Caenorhabditis elegans: one gene and its partner. The protein of the gene in region 1 interacts with the protein of each later gene in a pairwise test. Each region holds a gene or a part of one and is shown in the gene's direction. Other genes may lie near its edges.

Region 1 (8,666 bases):
TTTTGATACGGAGCTTCACAAGCATCTCACACTGACACTGGAAATTAAACCACAGGTAAACTGAAGCTAGAATTTCATGATTAAAAAATGGGTTGGAAATTTTTCCTTGCTTTTTGAAACTATTATACTAACTATACCAATAAAACAATATATCTTGAACTACAAAATCATTAAATTTACAGTTCTACGCTTTCCGCTGGCTTTCGTTGCTTCTCAGCCAGGAGTTTCCACTTCCAGACGTCATCACCCTTTGGGATGCTCTTTTCTCCGATCCTCAACGGTAAAACTTAACATTGTTTCACCATGTTCATGGTTGCTCTTCTTTGTAGATTTGCCCTTCTTCAGTACGTGTGCCTTGCGATGATGGAATTGAAACGCGAGCCTCTGATCAACGGAGACTTCCCATTTTGTGTGCGGCTTCTACAGGTAAATAAAATATTCTCACATCAAAACACAAAATCGCGTTCTCAGTTTTCAGTCGACCTTCATTATATGTAAAAGAAAACTTACAGAAAGTTTTTTTTTCTGAAAATTTTAAGAAATATTTTTGTTTTGATCTCTTTTAATCTCTATTCTATGCTCTTTTCGTTTTCACATTATCATTTAAGATTTTAGAACATTAAAACTTGAAAAGTTCCTGGGAATTCGTGCGATCTTTGCAACATTATGTTTTGTATCCTAATATGAAAAGTCCGGCTTCGCGCTCTCACACAGAGTTCAACACAAATATCAAGTATCACATCTTGATATCTAGAGCAAAAACACGAGACAAGTAGGAAAAGGTGGCTTGATGTTTCTAAATTGAGAGCAAAGTTTATGACAGACTGGGAAACATCAGGTTTATTGGGTTTTTTTTTTCAAAGGAACATATCTTTAAAATGACGCAACGCCTAGCTAAATGTGTCTCACACTTGATGGATAAGATGGCAAGTGACGAATGCGACATTCAACTAGGTTTTTATAGCTTAATTTAAGGTAGGTACTCGAAACTTAAATAGTGCGTGTTTTGAAACATTCATAATCTGTTTTTGTGGTTCTGATAACATGCTTTCAGCTTTTATAACCCCTTTTTACGTAATCAGAAAATGCTTCGAATATACTCTTATGCTCAAAGGTCTATCTAATCCGCAGTTATTTTGTGAAGCAACTAAGCCGACAGATCACATATATTAAAATATAATCACAAGAAAAAAGATTGCAGAGACTCAAATCAAGTCAAACTTTTAAATTTCAGAACTATCCCGACACCGATATTGCAAAAATCGTCGCATTTGCGCAGGACATTCGAGATGGAAAAGCCTTGCGCCCAATAGCCAAGGAAATATCGAAAGGGAGCAAGATCGCAAGGCATGCTCGGCAACTCTCCGACACACTGCGTAATCTGTCAATTATAAAAAAATAGATAATGAATTCAAACCATACAGCTCTCCCTCTCATTCCTTAGGTAGCTTTCAAAATATAGGCCATCCCATGTTTCACTTCTTCCGTTTTCTTCGTTTTTCTTTCTACGTATGTAGTGTCGCAATGTGGAAAGGAAATCGAAATAACATCGGAAACGTTTCGTTACTATAAATAAGATGAAACTTTATACTATATTCAATTTTATTAATCACATTTTTCGTGTAATATCACGAAAACAAAATAGGGTTCCTCATTTCTCTTACACTTTGGTCATTTTGCTTCCCCCCCACTCAACTTTTCACCTACTTTGACATTTTTTACTTGTCCAGAACGCAGTGTGCCTTAACAGTTATATTCGTTGCCAAGATTTATCTTTACAGCTCATGCCCCCTCCCATGCCCTTGTGTTCTAAATAATTGTCCATTCAAATGTTTTCGCATAATTTATCGCATAACAAACATGATTCACACTCCTATTTCACTTTATCAGTAGAACATTTCTTCTAATCCAATCAGAACTGGCACAGAACAGAAAAGGCCAAGATCAGGTTGTGTGTTTTGAACCAGCCTTTTTTCGGCCTTGTTTCTGGATGGGTGCAACTAATGAGAGTACTCCGGAGCAAGCAAAATGGGTCATTGTGAACGAAAATCGTCGTCAGAAAAGCCCCATCATAAATGTATGACGGGTCCCGCGGCGCATTGAGTAGATATGACGTAGTTGATGACAACAATTACAAGGACTCTATTCTGCTGATCCGAGTTCATCTCATCAGAACAGTATTCTCTTAATGATTATAAAATGGGAATGTGAATTTAGAACTTTGAGCATAATTTTTCATTGTTCTAATGTTCCTTCTTTTGTCTCAAAAATTCGGTTCTCTTTCTTCTTGTGTTCGAATGTGCTCATAATTAAAATGCATTTTCTTCCAATCAACCGGCCAAAAAAGTTTTGAATAAACCTGTTTACAACACAATTCTACAATCTCGTAAACTGAGAAAAGTTGTGCATTGAACCACAGAAAGGAATGGTGCACGAATCAGAAGCACAACAGGAAACCCTACGTAAAAGGTCCATGGGACAAGAAGGAAGTGGCTACCTTTGGGTACAACGTCATTTGAGAATAGTCGCAAGTGGGCATAACCAAACTAGATCCAAAACTGACCACTACACGAACAGAACTGAACTGATAAGATAACTATTATCAAAAGAGCAATGTCGAATGTTCATCAAAACACGAACCTTTTAATGCGAGGAACATCCCATTTAAGGTCAACGGAAAATAGTTCCCAAGTTCCTACCTGGTTTTTAGTTTGTTCAATTTTCAAAATCGTGGCAGAGATCAAAATTTGTAATTTTATTTTGCTTTGAGCGGTGATCCTTAAAACTCCGTTAACCTTATTTTTGTAACGTATTTTTTACTTCGGAAACTTGCAACTACTTGATCTACATCTGTCAGGTGTGTCAACTTGAGCGATTCAAGTTTCATTGTTTCTCGAAAATCACAGATGGAATACAGTAAACTAAAGATTTCCATCAACGTCAGCGGTTACTCCAGTTTCTTTTAAGATTAGCCATAAACGATCACAAACATTTTGAAGCGATTCGACACTTGAGCTAATCGGGCCTTTGATTCTTCAACTCTGAACAGTTTAGATACGATAATCTTTGCCCACTTCGGACACTACACTTCTTCGGAACCACTTCAATGTTTCACACGCGGACACTGTCGTCATCGTCGTCGTTTCTTTGATCAAATCTCAACAGTCTCAATTTAAAGAATTCTACAGCTACTTTCGGTCGGGCGGTCTCCGGAGCGTTCGTGATGTCTCATAAGGGGCGGTCTCGAAATCTGTCCAATCTGTGTTTTAGCTCTTCGTAAAAACAGAGAGCATTAAGGCAAGTCTTTTTCTCTGCAGCGCCAAAGTTTTTGGTTTTCTACTGACCGCCGCTTGGCACTGCCCCTTTTCTTCACGTCTTCTAGTTTGCTCGACGCTCTTCAGCTCAACTCCTCCCACCGACCGCTTCATCTTTAGATTTTTCATATCTTCTGTCGCCGGGCGCAGAACATAGTCGTCTGATCTGAAATTATGCTTAACAATATTCTCATTCTTGCTGCACTGTCCTGTACGGCAGCCATGGCAGACATCTTCGGACCACTCTCAGATCACTTCATCAGTCACCTTAACAAGTAAGTTGAATTTTCGCTTTCTGAAAAAAAATCATGCATTTGACTTTAACTTTGGAAGTATAAATTTTTTTCTCAATCACTTTTCTGCTTATTCTGATCCTATTAATCAATCACATGTTTTTTTATCAGAGGTGTTCGAAGAGTTTTTTTTTCTGAATTTGATTTTTATTGTCACTGATCTAGATTTTCCACTATACATTTATAAATGGCTAGTCTGTTTTTTTTTCTTTTCATCGTGTTCTTTGATTTATTTAAATTAACTTTTGATAGAATATCGTCATTTTCTACATTTCACCCTCACTTCCTTTTATAATTTCATCAATCAGTTAGATATTGAGATGATCTATGCTTTTTTATTTTCAAAAGTCTGATAGACATGGAAGATTTTTGGACTTTCCTTTTTTTTTTGCTGAGCTCATCTGTTGGTACTTACATTAAAGGCTCATACTTGTTTCATGTTTTATAGTCTGTTGTTACTCTTTGATGTTTGTTTGTGAACTAGCCACCCATAAATAAGGAAGAAATGATGGCTGATCAGAACACACATTTGTAAATGATGTGACTTTATTTTTGACATTTCCAGACGGCCTAAACGAAATGATGCGTTGCTCCGTCAAATCTCGGCTTTTGGAGAAACAGGTTCATTCGGTGGAAAAGTGTTCTCAGAAGAAAAGGTATGAATAATGTTGGGTAGTTATGGTGTGAACTTTCCATCAACCGTGATTTTGTGTTCTGATCAAGACTTGATGCTGGTCACAAAAAAGGCTGTTCCTTTAGCGCAAATAGCCATTCTGACGTCGTTTCTAGCTAGTCTCAAATGTAGGTGTAGGTGGTAATCAGGTCTTTGGCAGAGACAATGGGTTGGGCTTTTTAATGCGTGGGAACTTTCAAATGCTCTCAGCATTAACTCTAAGAAAACGTAGCATACAAAAAAAAACTACGTAATAACGAAACATTCCAATGGGCCCCACGCAATTTTCATTCCGGCTCATTGAAGATTGACAGCATAACATTGGACCTTTCTATTTTGTGTTTTTGTTGGAGAAATATTATAAGGTCACCCAAAAGTAACTCAAAAAATGGCTGCACATTTCCTTTTTCCTTCTACGTATTTCCCTAAAAGGTCCAAGAATAGAAAAAAAATAAAGCAACCTTTTTGATCGGACACCGTCAATCACAATCATCATAATAGAGAGCACAAATACTTCGTCATTGCGGTGGCGGAGCACAGATAACTCAGTCTACTTTAAGGGATCAGGAAACGCGAAACGCACAGAAAGAGAAGTCTTAAAACAAAATGATAAAATGACGTTTTAAAACTTCTTGGATTTTTTCTATAAATATATATATAAACGAAGTTTAGCTAGGAAACACACCAATCGTCTTCATACATGGAAACTCTGACTCAGCATTAAAATTTGGTGATGGTCCATTCCAGTCAGGATGGGATGAGATTTTGAAGTATTTCATGTCAAAAGACTATACATTGGCTGAGCTTTACGGTATCACTTATGGAGACCGAAACATTTCAAATTCATACATCAGGTGAGTGGTCGTGACTATATAAGTTTAGACTGGAATTTCACAATTTTTCAGGCATTTCAACTGTCAAAATGTGCAGCTTCACCGACGATTTCTCGAGTTTGTCTTACATTACACAAAAGCCAAACAAATCAACATTGTTGCGCACTCTATGGGTGTCAGCATTGCCCGAAAAGCGATTCAGGGTGGCGAGGTACTGTGAAAAAATAACATCAGAATACATTGACATTTATTGTGCTCTCTTTTAGTTTGTGACCAAAACTGAGTCTTGCGACATCGGACCCAACCTATCGCATCGAATTGGCACTTTCATTGCTCTTGCGTCAGCAAACTATGGAATGTGCCCATGTCAACATGCATTTGCCTTTCCAGCTTGCGGAATGGAAGTAAGTATATCTTATCTTGAATAACGTCACTCTGGTGCTTATTGTAATGACTCAGTAAGAGTCTATGAATAGTTACAATGCCTCTTAAAACTAAAAACTGTACTCATTTTTTTGTAATTTCCAGACGGGATTCTTTCCTGGCACCTGCCCAGAAATGACTTGTTCATCTCAAGATGTGAATATATCAGAGACGTGCGGAGAAGTACCCTACTCCAACTATCTGATGAACCTGAATAATAGTGGAAAGAAGGACGCATCATTTGTTGCAAGCTTATGGAGTGATGGTGAGTAATACCTATAACAAAAATATATCACATAAAAAACTTATTCGATTATCGGATTAATCTTTCCAACATTTAAACCGGAATTTCGATCGGAACTGAATATGAAACTATTAACACCTACACCTTATATTTAGAACGTTTAGATTTAACAAAATAGAACATAAACGAATAAGCTAATTCAGTTTATTCCAGACGATGAAATTCTTGGAAAAGGAAACATGGTTTGGGGACGGCAAACGTCTTTAGTTCCACATTCAGATATGCGTAAGGTGAGTCACTGCAAACGAAATTTATAGAAAGAAATGTACTAACTTGTTCAATTTCAGATCTACAGTGATTTGAAACATAACGATGTTAAACTGTTAACTGCCGAAGACCAGTACAATATCATTCATATGAACGATCAAAAATTCAGTCTTCACGAAACAACGGAATACTAATTCTATCGTTATAAGTTAATATTTCAATTTTATTATGGTCATAATTTGCAACCACTTGTCATTCATTTCCATCCCATCCTCGATTTCCATGATCATCATCTCTACTACAAAATTATCATTAATATTTCTGAATAGACTACCTACTTTCAATGTGATACTCATGTTGTATCTTCCGGTTGTATCCTCATTAAGCAATTAACGGGTCGTTATAATTTTCTTTTACCATGTTTTGTTCAAATTTGTAATCACTACTTCGTTTGTTCTTTCTTTCTTATTACTGCTAGTTTTTTGTTGTTGTAGCGCTTTTAATGCTTGTAATTTTGGGAATATTTGATTCAATTCCAAAAACATTTGGTAAAGTATTTTTACTAACTTTATTTTTTTTATAATATTATAATTTGAGATAAACAAATAGATGTAAGTGTATGAACCTTTTGATTTCATATCACGAACCAAATAGATCAATGCAACACATTTTTCATTCAATGCTTAGATTAACTATGTTTCCGGGATTATTAGTAGGCGCTGACTAGTGAGATGGATTAATTGACAATCTTTGCTTTCAAAATTTTTGCAACATCAAACTAGCAAATATTATAGCAATTGATCTGAAAACAAAATAGCACAATGTACAACAATGTAGCACAATAGAACAATGTAAACTTCGTACGCTCTCTCAAAAATCTTCTAGAAAGAATTATTTCTCAGAATTATTGAGAACATGTTGTAATCAGTTAACAACTTTTATGACAACTTATGTGTACACTGTAGTGGTGAACGTATGCACAGAAAACATGTTAAGGTACTTGTGTATTATACCCCTCATTTTTAAAATTAATTAAATTATAAAATGTGATGTTTTCCCTATTGAGGGATAGAAATGTTTCTTCCCTAAACCCATAAATACAAAAACTCCACACTTTTTTATATTAAAAAAATAATTTGTTTTAAAAATGAGGGGTATAATACACAAGTACCCATGTTCATGACAAAATACAATGAAAGTTAAACATTTTTCCAGAAAGCTGTAATATTTTTCAAACAGGTTTCGAAAATGAGAGATTTGCAAAAAACCCCTTCTAATTTTTTGCACAAAATTAGGGAGTTTTTCAAATTTGAGCCAACTTTTCTCACTCCATTATTGTTTCTAGCGTATGCTTCAAACTTGACTGATATTTTTGCAATAGCAGAATAGAATTTAGTTGTGACATGTGTTTTATGTTTATCAGAAAATTTCAGTTTATGTCTTAACCAGTTTTGTCCGCTTTTCAAACATGAATTTGTTTTTAAATTTGATTTGAAATAATTGAAAACTGTGCTAGAAAATTACAAGTTACAATTTATAGTGACAATAACAAAATCCACAGCTTTTTGTTTCTTATACTGATTTCTTTTCAAATTTGTAATTTTTAATATTCGATTTCTAATCAAGTTCTTTATTCGACCTCTCCACTTATTCATCTTGAACAAATGCGGAAATATTTCAACCGAACTTCCTCCAATGGGCAGAATTGATCCATCGCAACTGAGGCTGCACATCACGAAAGCGACCGTTCTTGAAACATAGTTTAATTATAGTGCACTATTTTGTTAGTGCATCGTGCGTCACCATTGGCAATGCCGCAAGGTTCCTGATGGATAAAACGCAAATGATTTGCATTAGGATTCTCGGTTAAATATCATTTTGATCCAGCAAGATGAGCAATTTGGAAACAAAATTTTGAATTTCGTGCAAACCCAAAACTAGCTCATATTTATAATTCCTTGAAGACATTCCAAAATTGTTAATGAGATTTTTTCATTTCGTAGGAGATCCAAGTTCACCAATATTGTAGTTTCGTTTTCCTACTTATTAGGTATTCTCGCAAGCTCTTCTCAAACTTAGTTTGCCAATAATTTAGTAAGTCAAGAAAAGTTAAACTTTCAACTTTTGGCTTCTTCTATGTATAATAGGGATTCGACGCAGTGATCATACAATTTCCGAAAAAGAAGTTAATTTAAGAGCTTTGAGATCCGTTCGCAAATCCGACAAAAATGTTGGTTAGGAACGCCGCCTAAGCTTGTTTTCAGCGTTGTTTTCTCCGAATGTCTTGTTGTTTCATTTTGATAATAGCAGGTGACTTGGAACATATATTTTTTGAGGTGTCTGGTACGACAATCATCATAACACATCTAATAGGCTTAGGTGCATGGCGTTCGTTTTGTTATAATCTGATCTTTCACATCGATTACTATATCTTAATAAAATTATCCGCACGATGTGTCTGTCTTTGAATCATATTGAAAGACAAATCTTACTTGGTTCTGTGATGCCGTTCGAGTCAGTCTTAAATCAAACAGGGATGTAATCATGGTTATTATAGTAATTTTACATCATATTGTTGGCATTTTTCAGATAACCAGAGTAACGTCAGATACCGTCATT
Region 2 (8,647 bases), on another chromosome or scaffold:
CCCCTCGTCACTTTCTCGAAATATTCTACCCTATGAAGACAAACACCATATGTCATAAACAAATGTCTGGCCAACTCTGTCATCAATAATTCACCTATTTTTGGCCATAAAATTGGTGAATTTAGTTGTTTAATCTCGCGTTTTGAGGTGGACAGCTCAAAAGTACTTGTTGTTTCAAAACTAGTGCAATTTTTAAAATTGGCTGGAACAGGCACACGCACCACACACGCACCGCACGGTAAATTTTTAAAAATTATCGATTTTATTAATTGGAAGACCGAGACCTTGAATACTTTTCCTGTAAATTTGAATTGAAATAAGGTCTATTTTTATATCTAATTTCATGGATTATTTCTCTCCTCTTTTTCTATTTGAAAATAGAAGACAGGACAATAGAGAAGCCAATGTGCACTTCTTTTTTTGGGGTCAGGTCTAAATTTTGTTATGTCTAGACCCCCCACTCCCGAAAAAGCCAAAAAGAAAACGGGAAAATTGATAATTTGTGACACAAAGAGCTATTTTACGGGGCGGAGAGGTCATCCTACTTCCCTTGACGGGAGAGTTATGCACACATTTTACAAGGAAGTTAGATGAAGAAGTGCGAGAGGAGTACACTGATGGATTCCCTTGATTCTCACTAATAATTTACATATTAAGTTTGAGGAAGATGACGGTGACCCCTGATTTGATGTCATTTCATCAGACACATAGCTCAATTCTGCGTTGCCAAAGGTCAGACAGGAACGAAAATACTTGCCTGACCAATGCCTACCTACGTCTAAATCACAAATTACCACTTTTCACGTCTTAATTGGCTTTAAGTAAAAAAGTAAATTTTGGCTGTAGGCAGGCGCGTAGGCTTGTAGTCAACCTATTGTCAATTCAAGTTTCTTACTTCCAGTTCCTTCAAACTTGAAAACAATCTTTAATTTTGTTGTTCCTTTTTATTTTTCAATTTCCTGTTCAGTTTTCTTATTTTCCTGTGTTTTTCAATTTTTCATTTTTCCAAATTAAAAATAAGATCATGTTCAAAAACCTTTCTGATTTTGAATGTAAACTTTTACTTCTCAAAACTTCCTTATTCCTTTTCGGAAAGTAGGTAGGTAGGTATGTAAAAACAAAGCGATAGATAGACTGGGTAGGTAGGCACAAAGGTAGGCAGGTATAAAAGTAGGCATAGATTTTGGTAGGCAAGTACATAGGCAGTTATCTAGGTAGGCAGTAGTGTAGGTAAGCATGGTTTTCGGTAGGTAGGTACGTAGGCTGACTGATATAAAGGTGGGCAATGGTGCAACTTAGCAGGGATGTAGGCAAAAATGTAGGTAGGCAGAGCTGAAAATAGGAAAAATCACGTTAGAATTCAAAAAATAAGCGGTAGGCAGGCACGTAGGCAGGTACCTAGAAAGTAATTCATTTCAAAGATCATAGATATTTAAACTACATTTACGATCTAAAACATCTGTGAAAATCCACGTGTTGCGTAGAGCCTGAAAAGGAAAAGGTTTTCAGCCGTTTGTAGATCACTGGCACTGATCACCCGCCAATTTTGACGTCCCCCCCCCCCCCCTGCCACGTCACCTCCTCTCTACTTTTTCGACGTGTGTGTGCTCGGCGAGCTCTCGCCTTTCATCTTCATCTGATTCAATTCCTCCATTCTATTCTGCAAAGGAGAAGATGCCTCGGCGGCGGAGCCAACCCCAACTCATCCGTGAGCTCCGCCCCAAAAAAAGAGCAGGCAGTGCTCTCCAACACACATGAATATATGAAACATTTCATCTCATTTCGAATTCTTTGGATCTGCTCTTTCTTCTGTTGTTGTGTCTGTGTGTGTATGTGTATGTCATTGTTGGGTCCTTGTATGTCTTCAAATTCCGAACAAATTTTTGTTTGAAAACCCGCAATTTCCCTGTCTGGCGGTGTGCTATTTATTCACTCAGTGTTTTTTGTTCGAATTTCCAGCCAATTTTCAATTTCAAAAGCGCCAAATTTTCGGGAAAACCTGAAAATAATTACCTTGCAAATATCCCCACACCCCCACCGACACCCACCCACTTTATTTTGAAAAACATGTTCTGAGATTTTTTGAAAAGTTGAGAAAAACACGACAATTTTCATTTCCAACTTCCTTGCTCTTTGCTACGAGGTGTTTGATTTTTTCTCAAAATGCTTACGATGAGGCTTTGGCTTAGGCTTAGACTTAGGTTTAGACTGAGGCTTAAACTTAGGCTGAGACTGAGGTTTAGGCTTAGGCTTAGGCTGAGGCTTGGATTTAAGTTTGGGCTTAGGCTTATGCTTAGGCTCAGGCTCAGGCTTAGGCTTAGACTTAGACTTAGTCTTAGGCTTAGGCTTAGGCTTAAGCTTAGGCATAGGCTTAGGCTTAGACATAGGCGTAGACTTAAGCTTAGGCTTAGGCTTTGGCTTAGGTTTAGGCTAGGCTTATGCTCACAGGGTTTAGCCTGCAGGGACTTTAAAAACGAATATTAATAAACCTACATTGAAGTTTTCAAAAAGGAGCAAAACAATTCTGTTGCCGAATTGCCGAGTGTTCCGGCTTTTTGGATAGTAATATTCTATGCGTCATCCGGTTTCCCCCAGATTTCTGAGCTTTTCATTCTATTCTTTTAAGAGCGGTTTTTCTCTCACGCCATCACCCAACAAAAAGAGCACCCACTCATCTATTGCAACTTTTCTTCCCCGATTTTGTTCCATTTTCTTACTTTTTTTGCTACGAAAAGCTCAACCCGGGTGGTCCTTTTTGACCTACCTACCAATTTCAAAGGAAATCAAATTGATGTTTGATTCTAGGAAAAGAGATGTCTCTATCTATCTCTTATCCTTTTTTCTCATTTTTTTCTCTATGCAAATTTTAATGGAAACTACTTAGGATGTGGACGGACCTAAAATTGATTAGAATTGGCTTCACTGGGTGCATAACCCCTCAATTTTGAGCTGTAAAAAAGTTATTTTGAAAGAAAAAAATGTTATAATTTTTTTGATCGGTGTTTTACAAATGAAATTGCAGCTTTTTGCAAAAAATAAAAATTTAAAATTTATTCTTTTCAAGTAGATATACCGATGTTTTAAATATGAAAAACAAGGGAAGACGCAGACAGCGAGAGCGTCTGTATCTCTGACCTCTGCCCTCTCCCTCTCCCTTTCTCTTACTCCCTCATTTTCAAATTAACGAAACTCATAGTCAGCGAATATTTGAGCAAGTTGAAAATTTCCAACTGCAAAACTGTTAAAAATTCGATTTTCTATCTATCTTGTAATTAATCTCATCTCTATTGACAGCCCTTAACTCAAAAATTCAAGTTTTCAGCAAAATGAACATCACAGAAACAGCAGCAATGAGCGAGGCGTGTATGGTGGAGAGCCTGGATCGACGATGGTACCTGGTAGCAGTTTGTGGAACATCATTATCGGTTTTATCAATTGTTTCAAATATGTTGATATCAAAAGTGAGTGTTTTTCATAGTTTTGATTTTAATTGGAAAATGCTTAATTCAGCTTAATTTGACGAAAATTTTTGTCTTTTAAAATTGATTTTATTTTCGAAAAACTTAAAATTTTGCTTTTCCACTAAAAAAAGTGTGGTCTTTTAAAAATAATTTCATTCAAGATTTGTCGGAAAAAAGACATAAGAAAACGTATTAGAAATATTCAAAAATTCTTTTAAAAAAAGTTGAAAAATTGAGAGAGTTTAAAACAACTTTGAGAGTTATAAACAAAATTGCCAAAAACCCATGTTCTTCACACGAAATTTCAAATGTTTTGGGTAAATCGTATGGCGACCAATGAACGATGAGGTAGGGGAGGGGCCAGCGCCTGTGATTGGTCCAATTGTTAGCCTGACCAATCAGCAAGGCGATCGGGTCTGCAATAAGAAAACATCTTTTTAATTTCCAGGTCCTACTATCCTCGAAGCACACGCACTTCTACTTCCTAGCCCTACTCGCCTTATCCGACTGCTTCTTATCTCTAAACTACGGTCCCGTGATAGCAATGGACATAATCAAAGATCGTGTGAAACTGCGTTGGCTCTCAAATCTTTATATTCAATACGTGGGACCCTTACTTGCTCTCTCACAAACCTCAATGACTTTCTCATGCTACCTGATCATCCTGGCGACCATCGAGCGATATCTGATCACACTACGCGCAAAATGCCTCGGCACATTTCGACAATGCCGGGGACTCTCTGCACTTTGTATGTTCATTTTGGCTCTGTTGCTCAGGGCGCCCATCATTTTCGAAATGCAAATAGAACAGAATCCCGATTGTATTGGCGAGATTAGCGAGTACTATTTGAACTTGTCGCCGATTGTGAACACGTTTTGGTATGGAACTGTGTACCGGTTTTATGTCAGGTAGGTGCAGGGATTTGTTGAAAAATTGGAGAAATTACAGAGAGAAATGAACTGAAAATTTTTGAAATTAAAAAAAAATTGTTTGTCCGATATTTTTGAATCTAAAATTTATTTTAAACTAAAATTATCAACAAAAAATAGAAAAAAAAATATAATTTCAATTTTTTAATTGCATATTTGACCTAATTTTGAATAATTAGACTTAAAAAAGTACTTGAAATTTCAAAAGGAATTTATCGAAATTTCAGAAAATGGAAAACTCTGGAACATTTTTTTTATAACAAAGTATTGTTTTTAACCAAAAGTTTTTCAAAACTAGGTCGCCTACCTACTTGCCTGCCTACCGCCTATTTTTCTGTACTTTTGGCAATAGGCATGAGTGTAGGCACAAGGCAGATGTATAAACCATGAAATCAGACCTACAACTTGCTGAAAATAAAAAAATTTAAAGTTTTCCGTATCCTTTTTCTGCTCAATTTTGTCTCTATTCAAGCATCAAAAAAGTTATATTAAAACAATTATTTAAAAAAATAAAATACCAAGCCAAAAAAATCTTTCAGAAACATCATGACAGTCCTGGTACCCTTCGTTCTGCTGGCCATTCTTAATTACAAAGTCGTGAAAATTCTTCGAATGCAGCAGAGATCGGCGCAAATGTTCCGTTTTCTATCAAGTGATCATAAGACGAAAATCCGATCGGCAACAATTTTGATGGTATGTATCGTTTTCTCGTATCTTCTCGCGAATATTCTAAACGTCGGTGTCACACTGTGGGAGTACGTGGCATTTCAATCAACACAAACCGGAGACGCTTATGCGGTATGTTGAAAAGTTGCAAACAGCAAACTACAAACTACAATTCCCAATTTCAGTTCTACGAAACTTGCACCGATGTGACGTCAGTACTCTACATTCTGGTGTGTGCCACGCGTCTTTTTGTATATTATTTGTTCAATCAGGTAGGTTTTTTTTTTTTTAATTTTATCTGAAAAATTCTTTAAAAAATGCCTGATTTCTTGGATTCCCGCCAAAATTTTCTGATTTTTTTCCGAGTTTTAGAAATTCCAATTTCATAAATTTCACAGCAAAAATTATGCATCTAAACTTCTCTCAGAACCTTTTCCAATTCTCATAAAATTTAACAAAAAAACCAAAGATTCCAGGAAATCCGCGAAGCCATCAAACCTCTCGTCTGCCACAGCACGAGTGCTCCTCGCAAGCAGGACTATGTTACAGTAACCCGAAGCTTGTAAGTTTGTCTAAATCAATTTTTCGTAAGCAGAAATCTGAAACCTATCCATCACCCTGTCACTGAGTCCCGTTCTCTCTTTCAGACAATCCATGCCGTTGGCGGTAGTGGGCGCCCTAACATTCCTCGGTCCAAGACAGACCGGCATCGTGAGAAATCAGCAAAAGTAGGGGAAAATTAAAGTAGTTGAACTTCTGCTATCTATTTCGCATGTCTACTGTATCTCAAACTTCTATCTCCCAGACTCTCTTTGCTCTCCTCCTAATAACTTTCCGTCACAAGCTTACTTCTAGGCGCACACACTTTTACCAATCCAGTAAGATGTCGGCCGCAGCCCATTGACTGCAGCCGGCACTTCATGGGCCAGGCTGGCGTATGCAGGACCGGGTTGGCACGTGAGGTGTCCGCAGCAGATTGCAGCCGACATTTCACAGGCCAGCAAAGCTAGCGTTCGCCTAGCTAGCCAAGCTTACGAGGTGTCGGCTGCCGTCTCGTTTCCGCGGCCGACACTTTACGAGCCACCAGCTATCATCCTACCATTTTATCTTCCAGTTAACATATACTTCTTTCAGCGACTCCTCCCGCCAAATCGGAACCGAAATCGATGCTGTAGCAATTGCCATTGCTCGAAGGCTGCTCTCGAGTGAGCTCGTCTTCGGAGGTGGAGGCACCAAAGAGGCCAACGACTCATACGTCATCTCAAACCACCACGCGACCACATCTGGAGACGAGGAAACCGACGACGACGACGACGATGAAGAGATTCCATATATGGTTTGAGAAGAAGCGGCTCCATATATTTGCACATTCTCCTCACCCACCTCATTATTTTTTTCCTTTCTGGATTGTATACTTTACTTTTTCTTCTCCTCTCTCATCATACATATGACCAATATCACGGGGTAAAATAGCGAAAATAAATTGGTATGTTTATTCTGAATGGGGTTTTGCACAAAAACTATCAGATTCACATCTCATTAAAAACCGGATGCTCTTTCATGTCTTACTTGGTGAAAACTTCGGGAGACAGACACTGGGGGTTTCTTCAAAACCTGCTAAAATTAAAATTGAAGTTTTGATCTAGAAAAATTTGATCTACAAGTAAGGGGGGACCCTAATTTCAGCAAGCTTACTGCATTAGATTTTTCAAATTGAACAAGCCCGGTAGATGTCGGCCGCTGGAAAAATTAAAATTTTGTAAGACAGGAGCGCTTTCTTGTCAGTTCGGAGTGACCATCTGAGCTTTTTTCGAATTAACCAAAGCAGCTGATATATTGAAGATTTTAGTTCAAGCAGCCGAAACTTTAAAGGTGTGTACTATTCTCTGCAACCGACGTTTCACAAGCACTTCTTTCAACAAGCAACATTTTACAGGTACTGTGCTTAGCGGCCGAGGTTTCACAGGTAATTATCAAAACAGCTAAAATTGTAAGGCGCATGCGTCTCCATGCGTCTCTCCATTTACAGGCCCAATTTCGAGCAGCCGACATTTTACAGGCACTACTTTTACCAGCCGACATTTAACAGGACTTCAAATTTTTTTCTATTCAAATTTTGCATTTCAAATTTTCAAACTTCAAATTTTGCATTTTTCATCGATTTCAGGTGGTTTCAGAGCCTTACTTAAAACAAAAGTTCAACATTTTATTATGTTTAATAGTTTCACTGATTTCCACTAAAGCTCCCACAAAACTCCTTCTAACCAGGACTTTTCCACGTGTATTTTGCTGTTTTTGTTCATTGTTCACCGCTCGATTTCACGTGTGGACGGGCACAGTTCACGTGAAATGATGTCCCATTCTACCGTACTCTTTGTGATAATGGCTTATCATTTGTAGAAGCGGAATGTGAAGAAGACTGATGAATGATAGATTGAAACTTTCAAAAATCAAATTCGTAGGTTTTATGAATTTTTTTTGGGTTTTTTTTGTTCGACAAGAAAAAGGCAGACATTTTTTTGCAGAAAAAAGGGTGTAAAGTCTGAAAAAAAAGCGATCGATTCAAAAAGTGTTCAAAAATCATACAAAAATTGCTTTCGCTGCGGGATCCATTTTCGTTTAAAGACCCTTTTTGATAGGATCAATCCTTGATTTGACGTCTGTTCAATGATAACTTTGTGAATCCGAGGTCAGACCGATTCTCGCTTCGGGACCCTTTCTGATTCAAACGAATATCTCAAGATGTTCAAAAGATTTTCTTTATTTTCCTAAACATTTTGTGTTTTTCACAAGTCACGTCATTTCATTGACGTGGCTCCCCTCGAAGTTCAAATGCTCAACAAGAATCTTTTCTCAAAATCTTCCTCCAACAGCTGTACTCGAAGGGCCCCGTATCATTTATCACTTCCCCCCCCCCCCCCTTAACTCTCTTTCCCCTGTCTCGTATTCTTCAAAGATGATAAAGACAAAAAGTGAATCGTTCGATAAAGATAGAGAGTATTGAACACTTTCAAAAGTGTCATTAGTGACAATTGTTATTGCTTTACTCCAGTAGAATAACCTGTTGGAATCGGGAAAAATGCAAAGTTTTCAGGTACTTTTTAGACGAAAAAGTGCTGAGATTTGAGATGGGAAACAACAATTGGAAATAGGAGAAAATAGAGAAGATCAATTTTCAGCTACCAAAATATAAATGGTTTTTAAATTTTAAAGCAATTTCAACCAGGGGTGGGCGGCAAACGATTTTCATCGACAAATCGATAAATCAAAAAATTTTCGGAAATGGAAATTCCCGACAAATCGGAAAACCGGCAATTTGCTAATCGCTGAATTTGCCGGAAAACCGCAATTACCGAAAATTTACGGCAAATAACTTTTTTTTTTGGAAACTTCAGAATTTCAATTTTAATCGGCAAAATTCTATCCTAACGTTCCTAAATCTATTTTTAAAAATATTTAGAAAAAAAATGGGAAAAATTTCAAAAAGGCAGAGATTTAAAAATTTCCGTCTTTTAAAAAATCTTGCGGCCAATTGATGTTCGGCAAGCGGCAAATCGGCAAGCTGCCGAAAAACAACATTACCGGCAAAT

Evidence for each region. Proteins that work in one complex are often made in the same cells at the same time.
Region 2: the proteins of lips-1 (region 1) and R11F4.2 interact in a two-hybrid assay, tested with the Caenorhabditis elegans proteins (one large-scale study listed by BioGRID).

The regions. Positions count from the first base shown.
Region 1 is NC_003284.9:12,489,377-12,498,042, forward strand, and holds lips-1 (Lipase), read left to right. Parts: upstream 1-3,390; 5' UTR 3,391-3,488; coding exon 3,489-3,589; intron 3,590-4,172; coding exon 4,173-4,263; intron 4,264-4,952; coding exon 4,953-5,134; intron 5,135-5,185; coding exon 5,186-5,324; intron 5,325-5,379; coding exon 5,380-5,517; intron 5,518-5,641; coding exon 5,642-5,801; intron 5,802-5,993; coding exon 5,994-6,070; intron 6,071-6,127; coding exon 6,128-6,241; 3' UTR 6,242-6,665; downstream 6,666-8,666. Other genes in the region: tbc-13 (TBC1 domain family member 13), read left to right, coding at 1-55, 183-280, 330-426, 1,235-1,402.
Region 2 is NC_003280.10:4,079,743-4,088,389, forward strand, and holds R11F4.2 (G-protein coupled receptors family 1 profile domain-containing protein), read left to right. Parts: upstream 1-3,311; 5' UTR 3,312-3,350; coding exon 3,351-3,461; intron 3,462-3,909; coding exon 3,910-4,370; intron 4,371-4,930; coding exon 4,931-5,189; intron 5,190-5,242; coding exon 5,243-5,329; intron 5,330-5,533; coding exon 5,534-5,619; coding exon of another isoform or gene 5,620-5,623; exon of another isoform or gene 5,624-5,646; intron 5,647-6,191; coding exon 6,192-6,399; 3' UTR 6,400-6,555; downstream 6,556-8,647.